Oryzias latipes: one gene and its partner. The protein of the gene in region 1 interacts with the protein of each later gene in a biochemical or structural test. Links are inferred from orthologs where the notes say so. Each region holds a gene or a part of one and is shown in the gene's direction. Other genes may lie near its edges. The genes, in order: lbr and cbx5.

Evidence for each region.
Region 2: the proteins of lbr (region 1) and cbx5 form a complex in vitro, tested with the Homo sapiens proteins (2 studies listed by BioGRID, with this or other methods). The link is inferred for Oryzias latipes from reciprocal best matches to the Homo sapiens genes LBR and CBX5.

The regions. Positions count from the first base shown.
Region 1 is NC_019882.2:330,459-341,202, reverse strand, and holds the start of lbr (lamin-B receptor), read left to right. Parts: upstream 1-534; 5' UTR 535-996; intron 997-2,529; 5' UTR 2,530-2,530; coding exon 2,531-2,695; intron 2,696-2,769; coding exon 2,770-2,958; intron 2,959-4,132; coding exon 4,133-4,198; intron 4,199-4,451; coding exon 4,452-4,641; intron 4,642-4,828; coding exon 4,829-5,025; intron 5,026-7,865; coding exon 7,866-7,920; intron 7,921-8,162; coding exon 8,163-8,357; intron 8,358-10,744. UniProt on the Homo sapiens protein: Catalyzes the reduction of the C14-unsaturated bond of lanosterol, as part of the metabolic pathway leading to cholesterol biosynthesis.
Region 2 is NC_019865.2:12,832,479-12,843,661, reverse strand, and holds the start of cbx5 (chromobox protein homolog 5), read left to right. Parts: upstream 1-5,417; 5' UTR 5,418-5,979; intron 5,980-6,461; 5' UTR 6,462-6,515; coding exon 6,516-6,646; intron 6,647-6,868; coding exon 6,869-7,106; intron 7,107-8,881; coding exon 8,882-8,982; intron 8,983-9,721; coding exon 9,722-9,863; 3' UTR 9,864-11,183. Other genes in the region: nfe2 (transcription factor NF-E2 45 kDa subunit), read left to right, coding at 447-1,676; heterogeneous nuclear ribonucleoprotein A1, read right to left, coding at 3,091-3,149, 3,236-3,355, 3,440-3,559, 3,639-3,692, 3,779-3,928, 4,012-4,222, 4,290-4,436, 4,507-4,623 and 1 more. UniProt on the Homo sapiens protein: Component of heterochromatin that recognizes and binds histone H3 tails methylated at 'Lys-9' (H3K9me), leading to epigenetic repression. In contrast, it is excluded from chromatin when 'Tyr-41' of histone H3 is phosphorylated (H3Y41ph).

The DNA.
Region 1 (10,744 bases):
ACACTTCCATGATGTTCCGTAAACTCTCCAGGTTCTCCAACACCTTCTTACCAGGACACAAGCTCTCTCGTCTCTGTGTCTCAGAGAAATCCTCTGACAGAACAGATGTAAAGATCAACCGTTTTCTGGATGTCATTTTTACCCATTCATTCTTCAAGACCACCACAAAACTGCACAAGGGGGGGGGGGGTAACACATCATGAGGAGAAGAATGGTTCTTGTTTGGTTTTATTTGATTATAAATACATTTAAAAGGTTCTTTTTAAACATAAATGTAGCTTTCTGAAGTACCTCAGATCAAACAAGCAGATCATGGAGACCCCCCCAGGTATAAACATGTCCTCCAAGCCAAACATATTACTTTAACTTTTAATTGTTCACCATGTTGTAAATTGACATATTTACTTCTACTGCTTATACAGATTAACTTTATTTATTTTTTCATATCTCAGTTTTAAAATATTTATTTTGTGAATATTTATGTTGAAAAGATAAGTGTAATTATTTAGAAACTAATTTTATGTAGGTGTGAAGTCCTTTCCTATTTTTTGTGTTCATTTAATATTTTTCAGTGACGTCCTTCTTTCTGAATCCATCCGACCTCTTCGTCCTATTTTAGCTCGCGGACGGGATGCGGGGGGAGGGAGGTGATGAGGTTAACACTTTTTCGCTTAAACCCTTTTGACTGACGGTAAATTGACACCAGTAAACAAGGCGCTTGCTGCTCCTAAACAACCAATCACTGTATGATGACGTTTTGCCATCAACCAATGAGAGCAAAGATCCGTTAAAATTGAATGCTCGGCCGCCCAATCGGAGGGCTTCGCGCCTTCTTGTCAGTAGTGGGTTTTACCCAGAGAGGGAGGGAGATCGAGCTCTACGTCAAATCTTTGAAACTGTTCTTTTAACACATTCAAAGCCAGTTTATTTTTATTTTGTAATCCTCCGCGGGATTTGTTTTGAATTTAACTTTTTGGAATTAATCCAGGAAAACAGGTGAGAACATGTTCCCGCCGCTGAACCGCTACACCGGCTTCGTTGTTGGCAAATCAAGGCTTAGCCGAAGCTAGCTTATCAACAGCGCTGTGGCATGCGTCTAGTTCCTGAAAACATAGATGGTTTCAAGTTGAGATCAAAGTAAAATAGGGATGTGGGTTCGCTTCCCAGACGTTAGGTTACCGCGTTTATTCATCCTGGATGTTTCCGGAGAGTTGTAGACACTTTAATCTGAACCGTAAACAGCCTGATCTGCTTTCATATGTGCAACTGAAGGCGAGCCAGAGTTTAGACGGCGCCTGTAACTGAAATATCCAGAAATGTAGAACATGGAGGGTTCTACTGTCCAGAAACAGGTTTATTCGTTGTTTTCACGCGTTCTCTGAAGGGTTGACGTCTCGGTGGTGTCGTGCGCGCGCGTGTAGTTTGTTCGGCGGCCGGTTTGGTTTGTTGTCGGTTTGAACGCATGACGTTTTCCCTCCTTTCCGTCCTGCTGCATCAGGACGGATGAAGGTTCAGTTAAAGAAACACGCAGAGCTTTTGGCGCTCACGATCTGCAACCTGCTGTCAGAAACCTCACAATCCAAATGGACCAAATGAACCTGTTGACTCGTTCAAATGTGAAATCCTTGTAGCGCCTTGTTGTTGGTTTGAACTGTTGGGATGTAATTTAATTACACGCACATTTTTTGGCTTATGGATTGCAGTAAAAAATATGTCTTTAAGGGTTGAGGTCGGCTGATCTCCCGTAGCACCTCAGATTTTCCGTGAACCGGCGCCGTTAAGCGTGCGGGGTCCGGTGTGACAGACAGAGCGCGCGCTCTCTTTGGGTGTGTCCGTTGCATCTCGAGGAGCTACCGGTGACTTAGAACCGGATCTTTGTTTTGAATGGTCCGTTTTTGGTGTCTTTCAGTGTAAAGCTTTTATTCTGAAATGCGGAGGTTTAGCGTAGAACTTTATTTTGAAGGTCGGTTGAGTCGACATGGGATTGTGGAAGGTAAATGTTTTGCACCGTGTGTGTTTTCTGTTTCAGAATTGTCACTGTCCCCCTTTGTGTGACGCGGGACAGACCCGTCAGCAGTTTTTTTTTTGTTGCTTTTTTTGGGGGGGGGGGGGGGGGGGGGGGGGGGGGGGGATAATGCTGAAACAGCTGTGCCCCCCCCCCCCCATTGTTTTTTGGACGTTCCCCTTTAGTTTGGACTTCTAAAGCTGGAGGTAGCTTAGACAGGAACTCTCTGGACATTTGCTTGTGGTGGTTTTGGGAATGAGGTGAATCAGACAGACGTCTCAGGCAGCGTCTGAGGATGTTTCTGTTTATCATAAACTAGCAGCTTCTTTTACGGATTCCATCTGTTTTTGCTCCTGAAGCTCAGCAGGAACCTTAAGCTGCTCAGCCTGAACCTTTTTAAATGTCCAGCTTCCAAACGCGTTCCAGTCCCCACGTGGTGTTTCTGCAGTGTCTGGTCCATGTGGCTGCAGTCTCCTGTCAGGCCTCTTTCCTCTGCTTCCCCTCACGCCCCTCACTCTTGTTAGGATGCCCACTGCCAGGTTCCAGGAAGGGGACAAAGTGATGGGCCGCTGGCCCGGTAGCTCGCTGTACTACGAGGTTCAAGTGCTGAGCTTTGACGCCGCCAGCCGGCTGTACACTGTCATCTACAAGGACAAGACGGAGCTGGAGCTCAAGGAGCAGGACGTCATGGTGGGAGTTTGTGCTCAGCATGTTTATGGGAATTTTTCAGTCATCTCCTCACCTGACGCCCTTGTTTCTTTTAGAATATCTCGTCTTTCCAGAACCGCACTCGCTCCCGTTCTCGGTCGCCGGGACGCCGTCGCAGCCGCTCGCGCTCTCCTGCGAGGACCACTCGCCGTTCATCCTCTCGTTCAGCGGTAGCAGAGAAGCCCCCCCCCTCTGACAGGGATGCAAAGGTGAAAGACGGCATGGAGGGCAGCCTCAGCCCGCCGGTAAGTTCTCTGGTCGGGGACTTTGGGTTTGAAAGCTAAAGATGGTGAGAGAGAAAAAACGGAGAATCTGATTTTATTGTTTCTTTTCTCTCATGTGGGACCCAAACCCGTTTTGTGGTCAGATTGTTTTTCTGAGATTCAGCTGTTCCTTCTGCAGCTCGGGGCAGAAACCAGAAATACAGAGGTCAGATGGTCTGAAACGTGCGCCCCCCCCCCCAACCATACACCTGTGTCGCTCTATTCCATTGTAACAAACATTTTAGCTAGGATTGAATTCTGAAGGAAGTTTTATTTTGAAACTCTCAGGTTCTGTCCTCCATGTCTGTAACTATCCTCATGCGTGTGGAGACGTTTTCCGTCGTCGCGTGTTTAGTTCTTTTCCATGACTTTAAAGCGGAAACCCTTAACAGAAACCTCTAAGCTATCAAAGCCAACCAAACACAAATGTGAAAAAACGGACGACAATGAAAAGAAACCAGTTTAATTCCACGTTCCAAACCTGTTCTGCCTAGCATACGACAACGTATCCAGCGTTACAAGGACGTGCTAATAAAGTTGCCAACACAGAGGATTACTGCAATTATATTTAAGAAGTATCTTTCTTTCTACTGTATTTATCTGCCAAACCTTAAAAGTCAGTTTGTAAAAATACTGTCCAATAGGCCTGCACAATACCGCAAATTTATCGTTATCGCAACATCAAGCTGTGCAATATGCATACCGCAAAAGACGGCGAAAATCGCAATAAATGGTTAGCTTAAATGTGCTAAAACAAACTCACGGCAGCTTGAAGTATTTAATGAATCAAATAAATCCATTTATGCGTTTAACCAATCGGAAGGACCCGTTAACGTTGTTGATCAATCAGATGAGCCCTTTTATGTTTGATGTTTGCCTCCTATGTCGACAAGGGTCATTTGGAGTATAACTTTTAAACTGTTGCAGTGAAATGGAAATGATGTTTTTGGTTGTTTTGCTATTTGTTTATATACCGCAAATTATATCGTTATCGCAATATTAATCACTAATATCGCATATCGCGAGTTTTCCTCATATCGTGCAGCCCTAGTGTCTAACAATCCGGATGTTCACCTATCTTGGTTCCACAGCCTCTCCTGTTGCAGAACCGTCCTCCAATGTTTTCCCAACATTTAACCTCTGCTTTGCTTTACAGCAGCTAAACAAAGGAGACCAGAACAGCAACAAGACACAGGACAAAGACAACAACGCCGACAGCAAGGTAAGGCATCCGCATGGAACCGGGCGTCTGTACGGAATAAATTTAAAGAACCTTTTGAAGAAGCAGCAGGGATCACCGTAGAACAGTGGAACTCTGACAGGAACAGCAAAGAATACATAGAACGTAAACATTTTCCTTCTATAACCCCCCACACACAGTACCTGGCTGTGGTCATGTGATTCAGACCCGAGCAGCTGTTTGATGGCACAGAAGGGTCAAAGGTCGTCCTGTTTTCGCCCCACGTGTCCTGCAGCGTCCTGTTTCTCTGTCCTTGCTTCAGAGGGCAGAGGCGGAGCCTGACAGGAGCCAAAGCCGTTATAACCTGCGCCGCAGGAGGGAGGACGCAGCCCCCGAGGCCAGACTTCAACAGCCGCAGGAGAAAAGGTCTGAGGAGGGTCCTGCAGCTCCGGTTCCCGTCCCGCCGGACTACCGAGGAAAGATGGGTGAGGGACCTTCTGGGTAGCGCTCTGTGAGGGGAAACGGATGAACTTTGTGTCACATGACTCCTGGTTTCAGATGTGCACATCAACCAGCCTCCATGGGGGGGGTTAAAACTCAACTTTCAGCTGTAAAGAAAGTCACGTCTTCATGGGGGGGGTGGACCTGACTTGGCTGTCCTCCCTCATCCAGGTTCCGTGTTCTGGCTGCTGTTCCTGCCTGTTTGGGTTCTGTTTGTCCTCCTTCAAGCTGGACTGAAGGACCCCAGCCTGACTAACTTCCCCCCGCCTCTGCCCCCCCTGGAGAGCTTGTGGGACCCGCAGGCTGTGGGCTTGGTCTTCCTGTGGATCTTGTTCCAGGCTCTGCTCTACGTTTTACCTGTTGGAAAGGTGAGCAGTGGTTCCAGTATCCGTGTCAGGACGTTTGTCCAGCGGCTTCCAGACACGATCAGGCCGAGTGGAGCCGATGTTCTGAAGAATCTGCAGGAACAAATGTTTGACTTTTCTGAGGTGGTTCTGAGTCCCGCAGACACGGAGCTGCACAGATCCTGACTCTGCACCCAAACATCTGGTTGTCATAGTAACAGACATCTAGTCTTCTTTTCAATTCAATTCTACTTTATGAATCCCACAAGGGGAGGTGAAGTTCCAGTTAGGGTTGTGCCGATGGACGATATCATCGTCCATCGTGATGGATGACTGACATCCCGATGGAGAGACCACCATCGTGATGCCACGCCCCCGCCACGTTGCGTGTCGACATCATAAGCCGCGGTTACATGTACAAAATATCTTGATGGGATCAATGGTCGGATTAGAATCCAACCGTGTACATGGGCCCAGAAAAATGTTTTCAGAATATAACAAACGTTCACTAAGGTCACAATTTCGGTCGGAATAAATCATTCGCACATGCGCAGTTTGAAAACCGGAAGGGGATACAACTTCCGCCGAGCGGCTTTTTTTCCAAACTTTATTGTATGTAACAATTCAATACAAAACGATAACAGCACCGAGCGGTTATATACATCGACATGTCAGCTCGGTAAAATACGAGACGATCTTCTAAACGTGCTTTTAATAATGTTACGGTTATTATGAAACACCTGTTCGCTCATCATTTGAATTTTAATCCGTGTGGTCAGAGCTTATTCTGAACGGAGCCAGGATTAGCAGTATGCTAACACGGGCTAACAACATTAGCTTTGGGTGGTGCTGCTTGCTGGCTGCACGTAAACATGTAAGAATAACATCAGCCTTTATTTAGTCGGGACACGACTGGAAACACAAATCGGCGTGATTGTTTGAATGTTTTCTAAGGACTGAGCGACATTTCTGCTTTGATGCTCAAACCGCTGTGTGTCTGCTGACGATCCGAGCTGTGCTCAGACACACTTTTAGACCCGGTTCTGAGTTCGGTTGCTTGTACCCCTAGAGCTGCGGGACGGATCGCAGTCTTAAATCTCCCACACTCCATATATTTTGGGACTGTGTGATTATCAAGAAGTATTGGTCTGACATACATGAACATCTGCAAAATGTGTTTTCTATTGTTTTCCCCTTGTCTTTTGAAAGTCTGTTTTTGAGTAAAATTGATGGCCTAGACAACAAAAATAAGAAACTACTCTACATTCTCATGACAGCCAGTAAGAAAGCAATAACCAGAAAATGGCTTAAACCTGAACAACCAACGACAGAGGACTGGATTGATGTGGTACAAAGAATTTACATAATGGAAAGAATCTCACACTCTTTACAAATACGGCTGGATGCTTTTTACGCTACTTCAATTCAATTCAATTCAATTTATTTGTATAGCCCAAAATCACAACAACAGTCGTCTCGATGGGCTTCGAAGTAAAACATGAAATCAAAAGGATCACGAATACAAAGAGTTCAATAGAAAAATACTCAAATGAACTAACAAACTGACTAAGCTATACTGGCATCCCTGCCCTTAGACCCCCTACTTGGTCTATATGGACAGAATATAAGTCGGTAAGATCAGATTTCATCTGAAATCATGTCATATCATTTATGTTTTGAAACTCCCTGCTTCCTCACATGTTCCTTTTTTATTTATTATTATTTTGTTTTTTTTGTTTTTCAATTAAAAAACTGAGAAAGCATGAACATTGTGACACGTCAAAACAATGTACAATTTATCCTGTGCTTTTTCAATAAAAAATAAATTTGAAAAAAAAAAAAATCTCCCACACATACCGCTCATGTACCCCCCCCCCCCCCCCCTTCCCATCAAACACAAAGCTTTAAGTCTGCGCTCCGCCGGTCCACTTCACTAATTAAGTGCGGGAGCGACTACACTAATTTTCTATCTTGCTTGTTACTTTTTCTGTTAAAGTCACTTCCCTCAGTTTATACTGGATCATCGCGGATTAGTCATTAGTTGGGAAATAAAATGAAAAAAGCAAAATAACGAATAGCAGTTATATAAGAACGAAAAATGTAAAAATACCCCCCCCCCCCCCCCCCCCCCCACGATGTCATCGTCCATCCCGATGGTTGACAGCAAACATCGTCAACGGCCAAATTAGGGGACATCGCCCAACCCTAGTTCCAGTCCATCTCCAACATTTCCAGAAGTTGACTGAGGTCTTGCAGCTGGACGCAGGCCATATGCCTGAGCCCAGCGCAACCTGCAACGCTACCAAAAAAAGGGTAGCAGCTGTTTTTGTTTTTTGTTTTCATCTTGACGTTCATTCAACCAGGAAGTTTATTTTTCTATATCCACATGATTTCCTCTGTGGTGTCAGCAGTTGAAGAAATTCTGGGATGTCCTTTAGAGTTTGTAGATCAGCTGATGTTGGTGTGAAAACGGAATGACAACAGTGAAAGAACTGCACGCTTTACTGGAGGCTTTTCAGACAGAACCGCTTCAGTGCCTCATTTTCCTCACATTTGGATCATTAGACAGAATCTTTAGAACTTTTTCTAACTTTGTCCAGGGCATTCAGGCCAATCCTGATGTGATGTTTGTTTCTGTGTCCGCTTGAGTTCCTCATCAAAGTTCTTGAGTTTTTTGGTTTCCCCCGATCTGGCCCCAGGCCCCACCCCACCCTCCCACGACTTCCTGTTTTACCTCGTCTCACCTGACTCGGGGTGTTGCCTCGGTTCTCTGGTTCCGTGAGTGGTTGATGGGTTCGAATCGGTTTGGGACCATAGAGGATGTGAAACTTTACCAGCGTTTTCTCCGGTTTGTGTCTCTGCAGCTGAGTGAAGGCGTGCCGCTGCGGTCCGGACAGAGGCTGAAGTACAGAACCAACGGTACGTCTGACGGCAGCGACTGCAGTTTATGGGGCGGGGCCAGCTGTCATGAACGTTTTCAGACGGACAACGATGGCAGAGGTCCAGACGGGGTGGTTTGTCGGTTCTGTATCAGAACCTCCTGGCGCATCAGAACCTCCTGGCGCATCAGAACCTCCTGGCGCATCAGAACCTCCTGGTGCATCAGAACCTCCATGTATGGTCCCGTCTCCCTGAGCAGTGAATGATTCTGTGTCCTGCAGGCTTCTTCGCCACCGCCGCCTCAGCTGCAGCGGTGGCGGCAGCAGTGTACCTGGGCGCTGACCTCACCTACATCCACAGCCACTTTCTGCAGCTGGCCGCCGCCTCCTTCCTGTTGTCCGTGCTGCTGGGCCTCTTCCTGTACGTGCGTTCTGGCCATGCTGCCCCTGAGGAGCTGGCGGTGGGGGGAAACTCAGGTGAGTGAGCTTTGGCTCGGTGAGAAGATGATGATCTGGACGTGGGGGTTAGGGGTCAAGGCCCTCGCCGAACACTCGGTGCTGAGGAAATCTGATGGTACGATGGGTTGGAGTTCGTGAAGATTGATTTGTTTGACCGTCTGCATACTGCAGTGATGAAAGTCTTCCGGGAATTCCCGGAAATCCGGGTTTTTGAGCAAACCGAACGTACTTTCCGGGAAATAAAGACCTGATCTCTACGGACAAATCGCTTTCCGGATTAGAAAATGGTCTGAAATCAGCTAATTTTAGCTTTATTTTCTATATTTCTCCGCAGATCGCTTCCTCTATGGTCGTGGCCATCTTTCGTCTTCCCGGCCTAATTGACCAATGACGGGACGTTTTAGTTGCTTTCGGATGCGTCGACGGGTCTGATTGGCTCTGTCTGCACCACGTGGTCAGCGTGACTTGCTTCCCTAGAGACCAAAACTGGCGGACCCACGCTAAACTTTCACAAACACATCTGAAGAGTTTGCGATCAAATTTGTGTTAAAATAATGGCAGGCATCGTCATTATTGAGCGTGGTCACGACCTCAGTTGTGAGAAGACGATAAAAAACAAATTGAAGTGGTCTTGGCTGGAAAAAAAAGATTTTTAAGGTAGTGTAGGTCAAATACTTTTTTGTGTAAAATAATCTCAAAACCACATTTTGAAATAATTTCAATTTTAGTTTTGAGTTTCAGTTTTTATTTTGAATACATTTCTCTATCTAATTTATTTGTATTTCCTAATTACCATGATTTAGTTCAGTATAGTTAACATTAATTATAAGTATTTGATGGTTTGGACCCGCACTCCCTTAAAAAATAATGTTTACAATGTTTAGTTTAGTTTGTATGTTTGTTTTGATATTTCCCAGATTACTTAGTATTGGTGTTAAAGAATTGATGTATTATGTTATAGAATTATAGTTTAAAGCAGATCCCATATTTTGATGTAATTATAGTTTGAGAAAACAGTGCAAGTGGATGTTGTACATCAGTCATTTCTAAAGCAGAAATAATGTATAAATAACTGAGGTATTTTCATAGAATATCATAGTTACTGGTGTTCTTTTTGCCATTTGGGGCTTTGATGTTACTATATTTTAGCAATTGTATGTTTTGCAGCTTTAAGGAAAAGCGTAGATTGTAGGATTGTGTTACTTTGAGCAATTTTCCAAATTCTTTTTTAGGACCAGCAAGTCCTTAATGGAGAGTCAAACTAGGGGTTTGAATGACAAATCATGATGCTCCAATTAGTCTTAGTTTCTTGATAAAGAAGTGAATAACTAGCTGCCAGAATGCACCAGAATGCATCTAAGACCACGTATTTTTCCAAAATTTCGCTCTGTGCCCGCCATATCGCTCAAAGAAAAGTTCAGGGATTTTTTCCTTGCCTGACTTTCATCACTGATACTGGAGTGCGTGCAGAAACAGAAGCACGTGATCTGGACGCTGGATAGTCACTGCGGTCCGCTCTCATGTCAATAGAGACTGTAGGTGATGACGGCGTCTGCAAAGGCTGAATCTGTCCCCGCAGAACGCCGTTCTCCATTACAGTTTCATACATGTACTCTCACGTGTCATCTGTCTGTTTACATACAGTGGTGGACAAATAGTTGGTCCCCCTCAGTTGAAGATAGAAAGTCCACAATGTTCACTGAAATGACGTGAAACATTCCAAAGTAACAATAAATTAAAATTTATTGAAAATTAAATAATCAAAATTAGCCATTACTTTTGAGTTGTTGATTAACAGAATTATTTAAAACAAACAAACAAATGAAATAGGGCTGGACAAAAACGATGGTACCCATAGCTTTATATTTTGTTGCACAACCTTTTAAGAGATGTGATGAGATAAGATAAAACTTGTCATTGTACAGTCACACTTGGTACAACAGTACAATGAAATTGCAAACGGTCCCACATAGGTGCAAAGAAAGAGAAGAAAACAACATAAAAAAATTGCAACAATTATCTTACATACAAATAAAACTATCTATCATGTAACTGATCATTTTCTTGTATCATTTAACATCTCCATCACTTTATCTGTCACTAAACCCTCCCGCCTCATCTCTTTTCATAATGTCAAAAACATCAATGTGAACGCACTTTCCTCACTCATACGTGATATTCCAATCCCTAACACACCAAACCCTGATGAACTCGTCTCCTCTTACAACAACCTTCTTTCTGATTCTCTTAACCAGCTCGCCCTGTCTCCTTCTCCAAATCTGCCCCCTGGTTCACCCCAGAGCTCCGTCACATGAAAGCCAAAGGTCGCCAGCTAGAGCGACTCTATAAAAGAACTGGCTTAACTGTTCACAAAGAAATCTATAAATCACATCTCACACAGTATA
Region 2 (11,183 bases), on another chromosome or scaffold:
CGCGTTGGTTGAAAGAGAAATTGACACTCAAATATTTATGGTAGCAAATAAAAACTGCCTTGTTTTTACGTTGTTGTACTCTGTCTATTTTAATGGCTTCTTCTAAGCTACACTAGAGTAAAGCAAGTCACAATAGTGTATTTGAGTGATGGCAGGATGAAGAAAATGTGAGAAGGGACATACTGGAAGTTGCTTCTGGCCCCCTGCGCTGCACAATAGCCATCTGTTAAAAAGTGAAACCAGATCACGTCTTTGGAAAACCTCTGTAAGCTGTGGGTGGCAGACTAAAAGAAGGGCAAATTCTGCTTAGTGATAAACCAAATGACGTGTGGGGAGAGAATATAATATCTTCTGCTTTTAACATATATCAATAAAATCAATAGCTATTTTAATTGTCCGCACTGTGGTTTTTCTCCATTATTCTTACCTGGATGTGTTTGTTGCAGGAGTTCGAAGTACCAACTGATGCCTCCTATGAAGCAACTCAGTACCAGACTACTGACCCCACAGGAGAATATGGCATGGCTCAGTCTCACTCTGAACCCCCTCCTGCAACTTGTGAGCTGAGCACTGCCAGGACGTATGCTGGATGTTACTCTGAAGAAGTGTCTCACTGCCATCCTCTGGGCGGCAGGGCAACATATGAAAACTCTCAGACTAGTCAGCGAATGATCTCCATGCCCGCTCAAACTCTGCCGTCTCCTGGAAACATGTTGGGGACAAGTCATGGACACAGGAGAACTAATGCCCGTCTTTCTCCGGGTTCAAGTCGACACATGCTTTGGACAGCACATGGCCAAAACATGCATGGCCGCATGGCTGATGGTCTGGAGTCAGAGGCTGGTCTTTCTTTGGGATCAAGTCCACCTTTGACATCTCCACTAAATCCAGTGGGTGCTGCACAAGGTTACCATAATGTAGAAATAAATGTGCCTTACAGTGATGTTAACTCAGGCAACATTAATGATCATACCAGGAGAGCACATATCAGTTATTCAATGGACTACCAAGGTCCAAATCACTCATATTTTGACTCAGGTGTAAATCCGTATTTTTCTTCTCAAAATTCCTCTCACTCCCAGCCATGTGCCACAACTCATTCAGCGAGACAGCAGCACAACACAGTTGCTTCATGTGAACGGTATAATGAATTAACCAGCAGGGGGAGCTCTCAGCATAAGTACTCAAAGCCACACACGGGCCTTTCCAGTTCTGCTCCACTTAGCAGGGATGAGCGGAGGGCCATGGCTTTGAAAATTCCCTTCCCTTTGGATAAAATTATCAATCTACAAGTGGATGATTTCAACGAGCTGCTGACTCAGTATACTCTGACCGACACTCAACTTGCACTGGTCAGAGACATCAGACGGAGGGGAAAGAACAAGGTGGCAGCTCAGAACTGCAGGAAGAGGAAGCTGGAGAGCATCATTCATCTGGAAAGAGAACTGAACCAGCTGCAGGTGCAAAGAGAACACCTCACACAGGAAAGGCTAGAGTTCCAGCGCAGCCTGGGCTTTGTCAAGTGCCGTCTGAGAGACCTTTATGCAGAAGTGTTTTCTCACTTGCGAGACGAAGATGGACAACCTTACTCAATAGATGAGTATTCTCTCCAGCAAACACCCGATGGGAAAATTTATTTGGTACCTCATACGATGGAAGCAAGAGATCAGTGCTGAATATAAGGACTCGTCTGTGCTTTGGAAGTGTTTTTACTTTTCGTGCCAATCTCAGTTTGTGGTTAAACTAAGTTTACGGTGACACACAAGACCAATGTTTATAATAAAAAACACACAAAGTGTTGATAAAATATTTTATTTAAAAAAAGAATAAAAAAGTAAAAATCAAACTGCACAGCAGTTTTAAGCACTGTAAAAAAAAATTTAAAAAGAATACTTCAGCGTTAGCACGACAGTTCAGCTAACCTGTGGAAGAAAATAATCTTTGTTCAATAAATATTGCCACAAACCAACCAGCAGATTCACTTTCTTGTACCTGGGCCATTCTCACAGAAATGATGTTTTTGTAGTGCTGGATACCGCTGGAAATCACCTGAAATGCAAAACAAAATAAAAGTATAAGGCATTGCTCAAAGGTAACCTGTATTGACTGCATGCAAATTACAGTGGACCTCTTTGCACTGCAAGAGATCAATTTTTGATCAAGTGGTATTTTTTTTAGCCATGTCATTACTGGGCTACAAAACTCACTACCAGCTTAAAAGGCAAAAAGAGAAAACACCATCAGTAGTTGAAAGTCTGGTCTTACCTACAGACAGCATTTAAGCCTTTTGGTAGCTGCTGCCTGCTAGCCTCAGGCTTCTGCTCTCACTCTCCCCTGCTTCAATGATCCTGGCGATGGCTTTGCTACTTCTCTCCCTTAGCTTGCTTCCATGGCTAGCCTCATAGACTTTGCATGTAAGCTAGCCTCCTCGAGATGATCTTTGCAGAATTCGAAGTTGTCTGAGCCAAGTCACGGCCTTTTTGAAGATAACATTTGCGCACCACTGGGAAATTGCCTTTTCCAGAGCTTGACAAAAAGTGGCCCTTTTCCCCGTTTAAGTGTCAACCCTCCCTTCACCCAGACCACTAAAGAGGCTAACGAGACTTTATAAAAAACTGAAAGGTGGTTTATTTCAGATTGAGTTGATGCAGTTACAAATAAAAACCAGACTTAAAGATAAACATAAAACCCTCATTGGAATGCTTGCTTTCCAAAAAAAACACATATGATGAAAGAAAAACAGAAGACAAATTTTAAATGAAGGCCCTCCATGATTTATCTACTGTACATCTCTTCTTGTAGCAGCTGTAACCTGCCACAACTGTTTGGCTGAGCAGATTTAGGAGGTAAACCTGCAGCTGCCCTGTCACTTCGCTTGCTCTCCTCTCCTTGCTCTCCTCTCCTAAGTACTCAGTCCTGTTGAACAATATGGAACAACATTGTTAACTGTGCACTGTCTTCATAAGTCCTGACATCCAGAGTGAATTCGTTTAAAGTTAGCTACACTTAATCATTCCCTAAAATGATAAACTCTGGTTTTACGACATGTAACAGCAAGTTTATGTCTACAGAAGCTTACCCCTTAGAAACTTAAAATCGTCCAGGACGGCCATAGCCACCGCCATTGTTTGATCCACCGCCATATCCACCTGGAAGACAGAAAAACAATCAACACACAAGGTGAGGGTTAAAATACTTCTGTGTTGGTGTGTTTTCACCAAATCCAAATACCCACCGAAGTTTCTGCCTCCTCCTCCACCACCACCACCAAAGTTGTTCTTCATTGGACCAAAGTTGGAAGCCTGCGGGTCATAGTGACCCATGTTGTTGTAGTTATTGCCACTGCCACAGTTTCCTTGAAAATGGTAGATAAAAATGATTAGTGACAACCTCATCCTAAAAAAGGGGGGGGTGGAGGGACGGGGTTGTTGTTGCTCACCATAACCATTGCTATCATAACCATTTCCACCATATCCTCCACCACCTTGGTTGTAGCCCTGGTTGTACCCACGGTTGCCACTGTTATAGCCCCCAGGACCACCGGGCCCACCTCCATAACCTGCATCAAACAACCTTAAGTCTTCAGATGTTCGTAAATTAAAAATAAAAAAACAATTTATCTAGTATGCTGCACTTACCGCCATCGCCTCCGTTGCCGTTGTAAGGACCATCTCCATATCTGCCCCGTCCACCTTAAAATAAGAAGAAAACCCAAAACTTGTTATGGCTGTCTTACAGACCCAATGATTTAAAAAAAAAATACTACAACCCACATTACCTTGGTTAAAGCCTCTGTCGTAGTCATAGGGTCTTCCACTCCCACTGCTGCGGCCACCTCTCATTCCCATTCCAGCAGTCTGCATTTCCTGTTTGGTCAGGGCTTTCCTCACCTCACAGTTGTGGGAATTGATTGTGTGGTATTTCTGGACTATGAATAAAAAGGCATGTTTCAATTTTTATGAAAATCTTACAGGGCTTTCCCATTCTAGATCAGATACCACTAGTACTCACTGACAATCCTGTCAACAGAATCGTGATCGTCGAAGGTGACAAAGGCAAAGCCCCTCTTCTTTCCAGTGTTCCGATCAGTCATGATATCAATGACTTCAATTTTGCCAAACTGTTGGAAGTAATCCCTCAGGTGGGACTCTTCTGTGTCTTCTTTGATCCCTCCAACAAAGATCTTTTTCACTGTAATATGAGCGCCTGGACGATTTGAATCCTGCACACCAAAACATTTGTTATACTTTGAACAAGAAATCAGATTTACGTCTAGTCATATAATATACCTCTCTAGAAACTGCTCGTTTGGGTTCCACCACCCGTCCGTCAACCTTGTGTGGACGGGCGGACATGGCTGCATCAACTTCTTGGACAGAGGAGTAGGTCACAAAGCCAAAACCCCGGGATCTCTTGCTGTTTGGATCCCTCATCACCTAAAAATGAAATACTTTAAAGCCAATTCAATTTGGATGATAGCAATCACATCTTGTGAAAATGACTCACAACACAGTCTGTCAGGGTACCCCATTGCTCAAAGTGAGCTCTGAGGCTCTCGTCTGTTGTCTCAAAGCTCAGGCCTCCAATGAAGAGCTTGCGAAGCTGCTCTGGCTCACGTGGGACCTAAACAATAGATGAAGACGTCAACAAGAGGTTGCCGCAAGTTCAAACACTATGAGTTAAAAACACATTTTTGAAAACGAAAGTCCACTCATTGACTTTCGTCTCTATTTCCAGAACATATCCAGCGTCAAAAACAACAACAGCAGGAGGGTTGGGTGGTGCAGACATCGCCGCCATTAGCGATCAACGATTGCAGATTGTTCGACTTTTTGCAAAAATATGTTCGCCTAAGGTTGTTAATATTGCGGTTAATCGAAATAACGATAACCAGTGACTCATATTAATATCATTCGATTCATTTCGTTTACCTGTAACCAACAATAGGCCACGAGGCCCAGTTGTTACAAAATGGCGGCATAAGGAAAAGAAAGCTTCTGCAGCGAAGACGGGCTGTTTCGACCGAGACAACGTGCCCAAATCTAAACCATTGAAGCCATTTGACGAAACTGGACCAGCTAAATAATTTGAATCGTTCAGAATACAAAGACTTACATCTTTCGACATCTTGCTGTATTTTGTCGGAAACTCCTAGTGACACAACAACCACGCAGCGATCTGCGCCAGACAAGATCAGGCAGCAGTCAAACGCTAGGATAAAATGGGGAAAGGAACGCCCCCTTTTTACACAGTCATTGGTCAGTTGTTCCCGCTGTAGTATTTCCTCAGAGAAAGGTGAGTTTTGATTGGCTTACGTCCTATCAATCATTCAATTAATCCAATCCCCGAGCAGGATAATGCAGTGTGTAAAAACGGAGGAGGAATGGGAGAAAACAGGATGCTTTCGCAGACATAGTGACATTTTATCTGAATAAAAATGAAATGATAGATTGGGGCCAATAAACCGCATCAATTTGGATCACCATCATAACATTAAACTAGATTAGTTTTGAATGGTCGTACAGCTACTTTTTTTATCTAAACAAAATAAAAAGTATAAAGAAAGAATTACACAAATTTTAAAGGACACAACACACACTTTTGTTATTACATTTTTAGCTATTTAATTAATAGTTTGGAGCTTTGTTTATATGTAAGGCATTATGTTTCTTTGTCAGCGTACATTAAACGTCTAATAACAAAACATATAATTTTACACATTACTATTACAGTAAGTAAATACCATGGATTGAGACCCTTGCTGCTAACCTGCCTGGTTTCTTGGTTATCAGCTGACCGGGAGGCGGGTTCATTCATTGTGTGCTTTTAACGCGCGCTTTTTCCGCTCAGCACCTTTATGTGATTTAAGCTACATGCTAACGTAGCTCCGGTAGACTGGTAGACTGATAGCTGCTGCACAAAAGACGCAAGATAACGCTGCAAAAAACGCACTAAAACTGACGGCCCGATCATCCTAAAGTAATCGCACTGTTAATTTATCGATATTGTGTTTTTACTTTAAATAACGATTCGTGATTTGAACTGTAAAAGTGGCAAGTTAGCTTGGGGTTCGCTTACATGCTATCTTGTCTAGCTTCTAGTACCGTTAGCAGAGCTCAGTTCGTCGTGCCCCATGCTTGTTTTGTTTTCTTACCTGTTGTAATCTTAGGGCTATCTTCGTTAAAAGAACAAGTGTTATGTGAAATACTTGCAGATGTGATTTTTATTCGTATAATAATTTAGTTGCTGTTATGCTCGAGTGTGTTATGCACGACAATTTCTGTGTTAGCGTCGATCAAATGCTAACGCGTATATTATCATATCTTCTTTTCTGATTCAAAGTATATCCTTTTTTTAATTATCTATTTACGTCTGATCTGTGCGTATTAACGCATCTGGAAATACTGTGCCAAGATGATCGGTTGTTATTTAAACTTTGGCTTCTCTTCTTTTGGATCAAGGAAGTGCTAACGGCCTGTGTGTGTGACAGCGTGCTATAAATACCAAACTTTGCAATGGGCAAGAAGTCTCGCGAAGAGAAATCCTCATCGTCTGACGAAGAAGAATATGTCGTGGAAAAGGTGCTGGACAGGAGAGTCGTGAAAGGCAGAGTTGAATTCTTCCTAAAGTGGAAAGGATACTCAGAGTAAGTAAAAAACAAAAAACGCCAATCTGTTAGCAATTCTATTGTAATTGCAATAATACAATATTACTTAAACCGCATAAAGACGTGCAATGTAATGTTAAGGGTTATGTAGCTGTGTGCACCGCGGTTTTAATGTTTTTATTTTGGGTGTGTTTTCTCTTTGTTTGTTACTATTGTGATTATGCAACTGTCTTGAGTTACTTGGATGGTTTTCCTTTACAGGAAGCACAACACCTGGGAGCCGGAGAAGAACTTGGATTGCCCTGAGCTTATTGCAGAATTCATGAAAACCTACAAAAAACCAGGCAGTGGGAGTGCCACACCTAGCACTGGTTCCAGCAAAGTCAACACAGGATCATCGGGTCGCTCCAAAGAATCCGGGAGCTTAAAGAAAAAAGGTTCAGATGATGAGGAGGAGGAAGACGAAGAGGGTGGAAGTAAACCTAAAAAGAAGAAAGAGGTGAGATTTATGTATATGCAATGTTTGGATTCACTGTTTTCTAGGCTGTCAAGATAAATGAGGAAAAATGAGTTTTTGTTGTTTTTCCCCTTTATAATAAAGTTTAGTTTGTTTGTTAGGATGTTACTGTACTTTATGCAAGGTTCTTAGAATTTATCTATTTTATTTTTTCCAGATCTACATTTAAATAACGAAATGTTAATAAGCAAGGGAGAGATATTTACAACAGTACATGTCAATTCTTTATCTTTCGTTTCCCTAGTTTCTTTTAGACCAGGGATGTCAAACTTGATGGCACAGGATGGGCAAAAATCCAAAACCCACTTTAGGTCGCTGACAATAACACTGTACTTTATAAACTTTTAAAACTTCTTTTCAACATAAATATGACAAATATATTTCTTTTAACAGTAAATGTTAAAAGAAAAAAAAACATTCAGTTTTCTTTACTATTGAATGACTTTATAAAAAACTTACATTTTGCTCATCTGTGAGACATCATCTGCGTGCTGTTTTATTAGTCTTCATCACTGAGAAGAGCTTCTCACACAGAAAGGTGCTACCAAACACGCACAAGGGTGAAACTGCTTTTCTGCAGGAATGGCGTTCATAACCTGTGCAGGTCCTGCAGTGTCGTACTTTGCCTTCAGTGTGCTTTCACTCTGCAGCTCACTCTGCTCCATCTGAATCTGTACAGGGGCAGTTTCAACATAGACGGCAAATGGTTTGTGAAGCAACTCAAAAATTCATTTTTGTTATTCATAATCACCAAAGGGCCGGTCGAACTTGATGCGCTCAGTTTATCAGCAAAGTACGGATTTGATGTTTTGCCTCATAGTGCTGTCTAAAGATTAAATTCCTTGAATACAGCCACATTAGCTCCACAAATGAGACGCATAAATTTATCAACAATGTCAGTAAACATATTCTGCCTCCCATCAGTTTGAAAAGCCCATTTCCAGGATTAACTTTTCACTTTTGCACCGACAGAGGGCCAGCTTCACTATCACTTGCAGCATCATAAACTAGACTTCATTGACGTGGGAAGTGTTCGGCAAGGCAGCTGAAGCGCTGCATTGTGGGATCTGTAGTTGAATTTTACCAGCGCTTCATATCGCCATGCCGTAATTACCAATAATATAAAACGATCATGCTAACCGAATATAATTGCATGCCGGGCTGCATGCGGCCCGTGGCCTTTAAGTTTGAAACACACGTTTTAGACATATAATTATTTATTTTTAGAAGATACAATTGTTGATATGTGCCAGTACACTTCACCATTGAGAAATCCACATGTCTTGATCTCGCATCCTGTTTTTGTGGCGTCCTGAAAATTACAAAAGGTCAATAAGTCAGGCGATCAACTAGTTGATGTGCATGTCAACATGCTCAATCTGTCTGTATGTGTTCAGTGCTTTACTTCTGTCATTTTGCACCTTGTACAAATAATCAGCCTTTTCAGCACAATTCTACATACAATCCAATAAAAGTAATATTTGGGGGGCTAAAAGAAACTAAAATCAATTAGACATGGATTAAAAAATTGTTTATAATACATAAACCAATAAGACATATTGAAAATGATTACCGCAAAAACAAGCAAAGTATTAATCTGTTTATACACAGAAGGAATTTCAATAAAATATCTGACGGCATTTGTCCAGTAGAGCAGTAAAGTGTAAATATGAGGTTAAAGCACAGAATCAAAAGACAAAAACAAACAGTTTTAAACATTTCCTCAGGTTTGAACTTTTTTTCTTTGTTTCTTACAGGAGGAAATTCTAGTAGCCCGTGGCTTTGAAAGAGGACTTGAGCCAGAGAAAATCATTGGAGCCACTGATTCATGCGGAGACTTAATGTTCCTCATGAAATGGTAAGTTTTGTTGTTGGGATGATGATGATTATGATGATCTGGTGTGAAATTGCTGCTCCGCTAGGTGCAATCACCACAGACTGTTTTACTGTTGACTGCAACATGGAAGGGAATGACTCTTAAAAAAAAAAGGCTTTTGACTGTGTCGGTTAACTGGGCAAATCACCCATTAGAAACTTCAGTAACCGGGCTGTCTGTCCATAGATGAACAGGAAGCCAAACCATAAAATTAATGTTATCTCTTATTACCTAGATGGATATACGCAGTGCACCATCACTCATGCCTGGTTCTGGACTCATATTTGAGTTGCAGACTTGATACTTTTACTTTGAATAAATTTACAAATCCATAAAAATAATCATGAATTTAGAATTGTTCTCATTTGCTATGATTTATAGAAAATTCTCTGTGATCAGTTTTAATCCTAGAGCGAAAGAACAAATAAAAACACCTGTGATGAAGTCTGACTATACCTTTGTTGCACCAGATGAAAAGTTTGTCTTGCCAACTTACCCATTTTATTTGGTTTTATGATAGAACACTTGATGCTGTCTCAATACATGGTTAAATTGCAGTGTAAATGAACCTCTTAGAAATATAACAGTGAAATGCCATTTCACAGAGACTAGGATAGAGTGCAACCGCCTACAGCTTGTTTATGAAATCCCACAATGCCTTATTTGGACTTAAGTTAGTGAAGTGTGGTGCAAAAATATTTCAAGCTTTACCCTCTTTTAGGAAAGATTCAGACGAGGCGGATCTTGTTCTTGCCAAGGAGGCCAATCATAAGTGTCCACAAATCGTCATAGCCTTCTACGAGGAGCGCCTCACCTGGCACGAAGACGGTGACAAGAAGGAGAAGGATGCTGTCAGTGCTTGAGTGCAACACCTCTGGAGGAAACCTCCACTGCAGGGAAAACATTCTGTTGGACTTTTTGTTTTCCTTCTCCCAAACTTCCATCCCTCACTTTGTCCAACAGTGAAACAAAAACAGTGCATCCCTTTTGTTGTTTTCTCCACTCATGCCTCATTGAGCACAAGGGCCCAGACTCTGTAAAGGATCCATCAAATAGAAAGCTGTTTGTTAGTGGACCTGGGTGATATGCTACTGGGCAATGTTTCTACTGTTTTTGTATTGATTTTTTTTTTTTTTGTAATATCTTAACATTTTTGTCTTTATCTTTTCCCTGTTTTTTAAAGTGCTTGCATAAAAATGTTACTAGGAAGAAATCTGGAGAAACTATTACTGGTGGCCATCTGTTAAAGTTGCAAATCCAGACCCAAGTACCAGATTTGACGGTTTAGGGGGGAATTCCCGATCCCCATCATTGTGTTGTAAACAGTGCACATCTTTTCTTTGACAGGAAAATGTTGAAGCTATTCACTTATCTTTCTTTTTTTACCCCTTTAGGCAGCAGATATCACACCTGATTCATTTTTAAACGTGTTTAATAATCGTTTTCCCCACTGTTTCTATTTTTTTTTTTTTTTTTAATATTTGTAACCGGTAATTTTTAACAGGGCCACTCTCACCAAACGCTCAAACATGTGCGATCATTTGATCATGACGTCTACTCTGCCATCAATTCTCTTTGTTGTAGTTTAATATTTTTGTTTCAGATTAAGGTAAGAAAAAAATCCTAAATATTTGTCCCAATGAGTAGATGTTGATCTGATGTTCAGGATTCCATTGATCATTCATCTTCCTGAAGCATTCATCTGTTTCATGTTTTGACATCCATCACCATAACATGCTTCAAAAGGGACATGATCACCTTCATGAAATTTAAATGTAAAAACTATGATAATTGTGAAAGCTGAATTAATGACATGGCAGCTGGATTGGCCTGCAGTTGAGAAGACTGGTGCACCTGTTTAGTCATGTAGGTGCACGTCTGTGTAGTGATGTATATTGGTTTTAATTTGTGCTGTTTCGTCAAATGATTGTTTTGCGGTTTTTTTCTTTCTGTTTTTTTTGACAGTGTTGCCAGAAGAAGAAAAAATACAATAAAGACATTTTTTTCTCCATTCTGTACTTTTAATCATATCCCAATCATTGTTTGAATGATTTTTTTTTTTTTTACTTTTAATTTGCATGAATTGTGTGATCTTGCGCCCTTTCAAAATAAAATTCAGCTAGCATTCAAAGGAGAAACTTAGCTGCCACTTTGATAACTGAAATTAATACTGTGGTCAACAA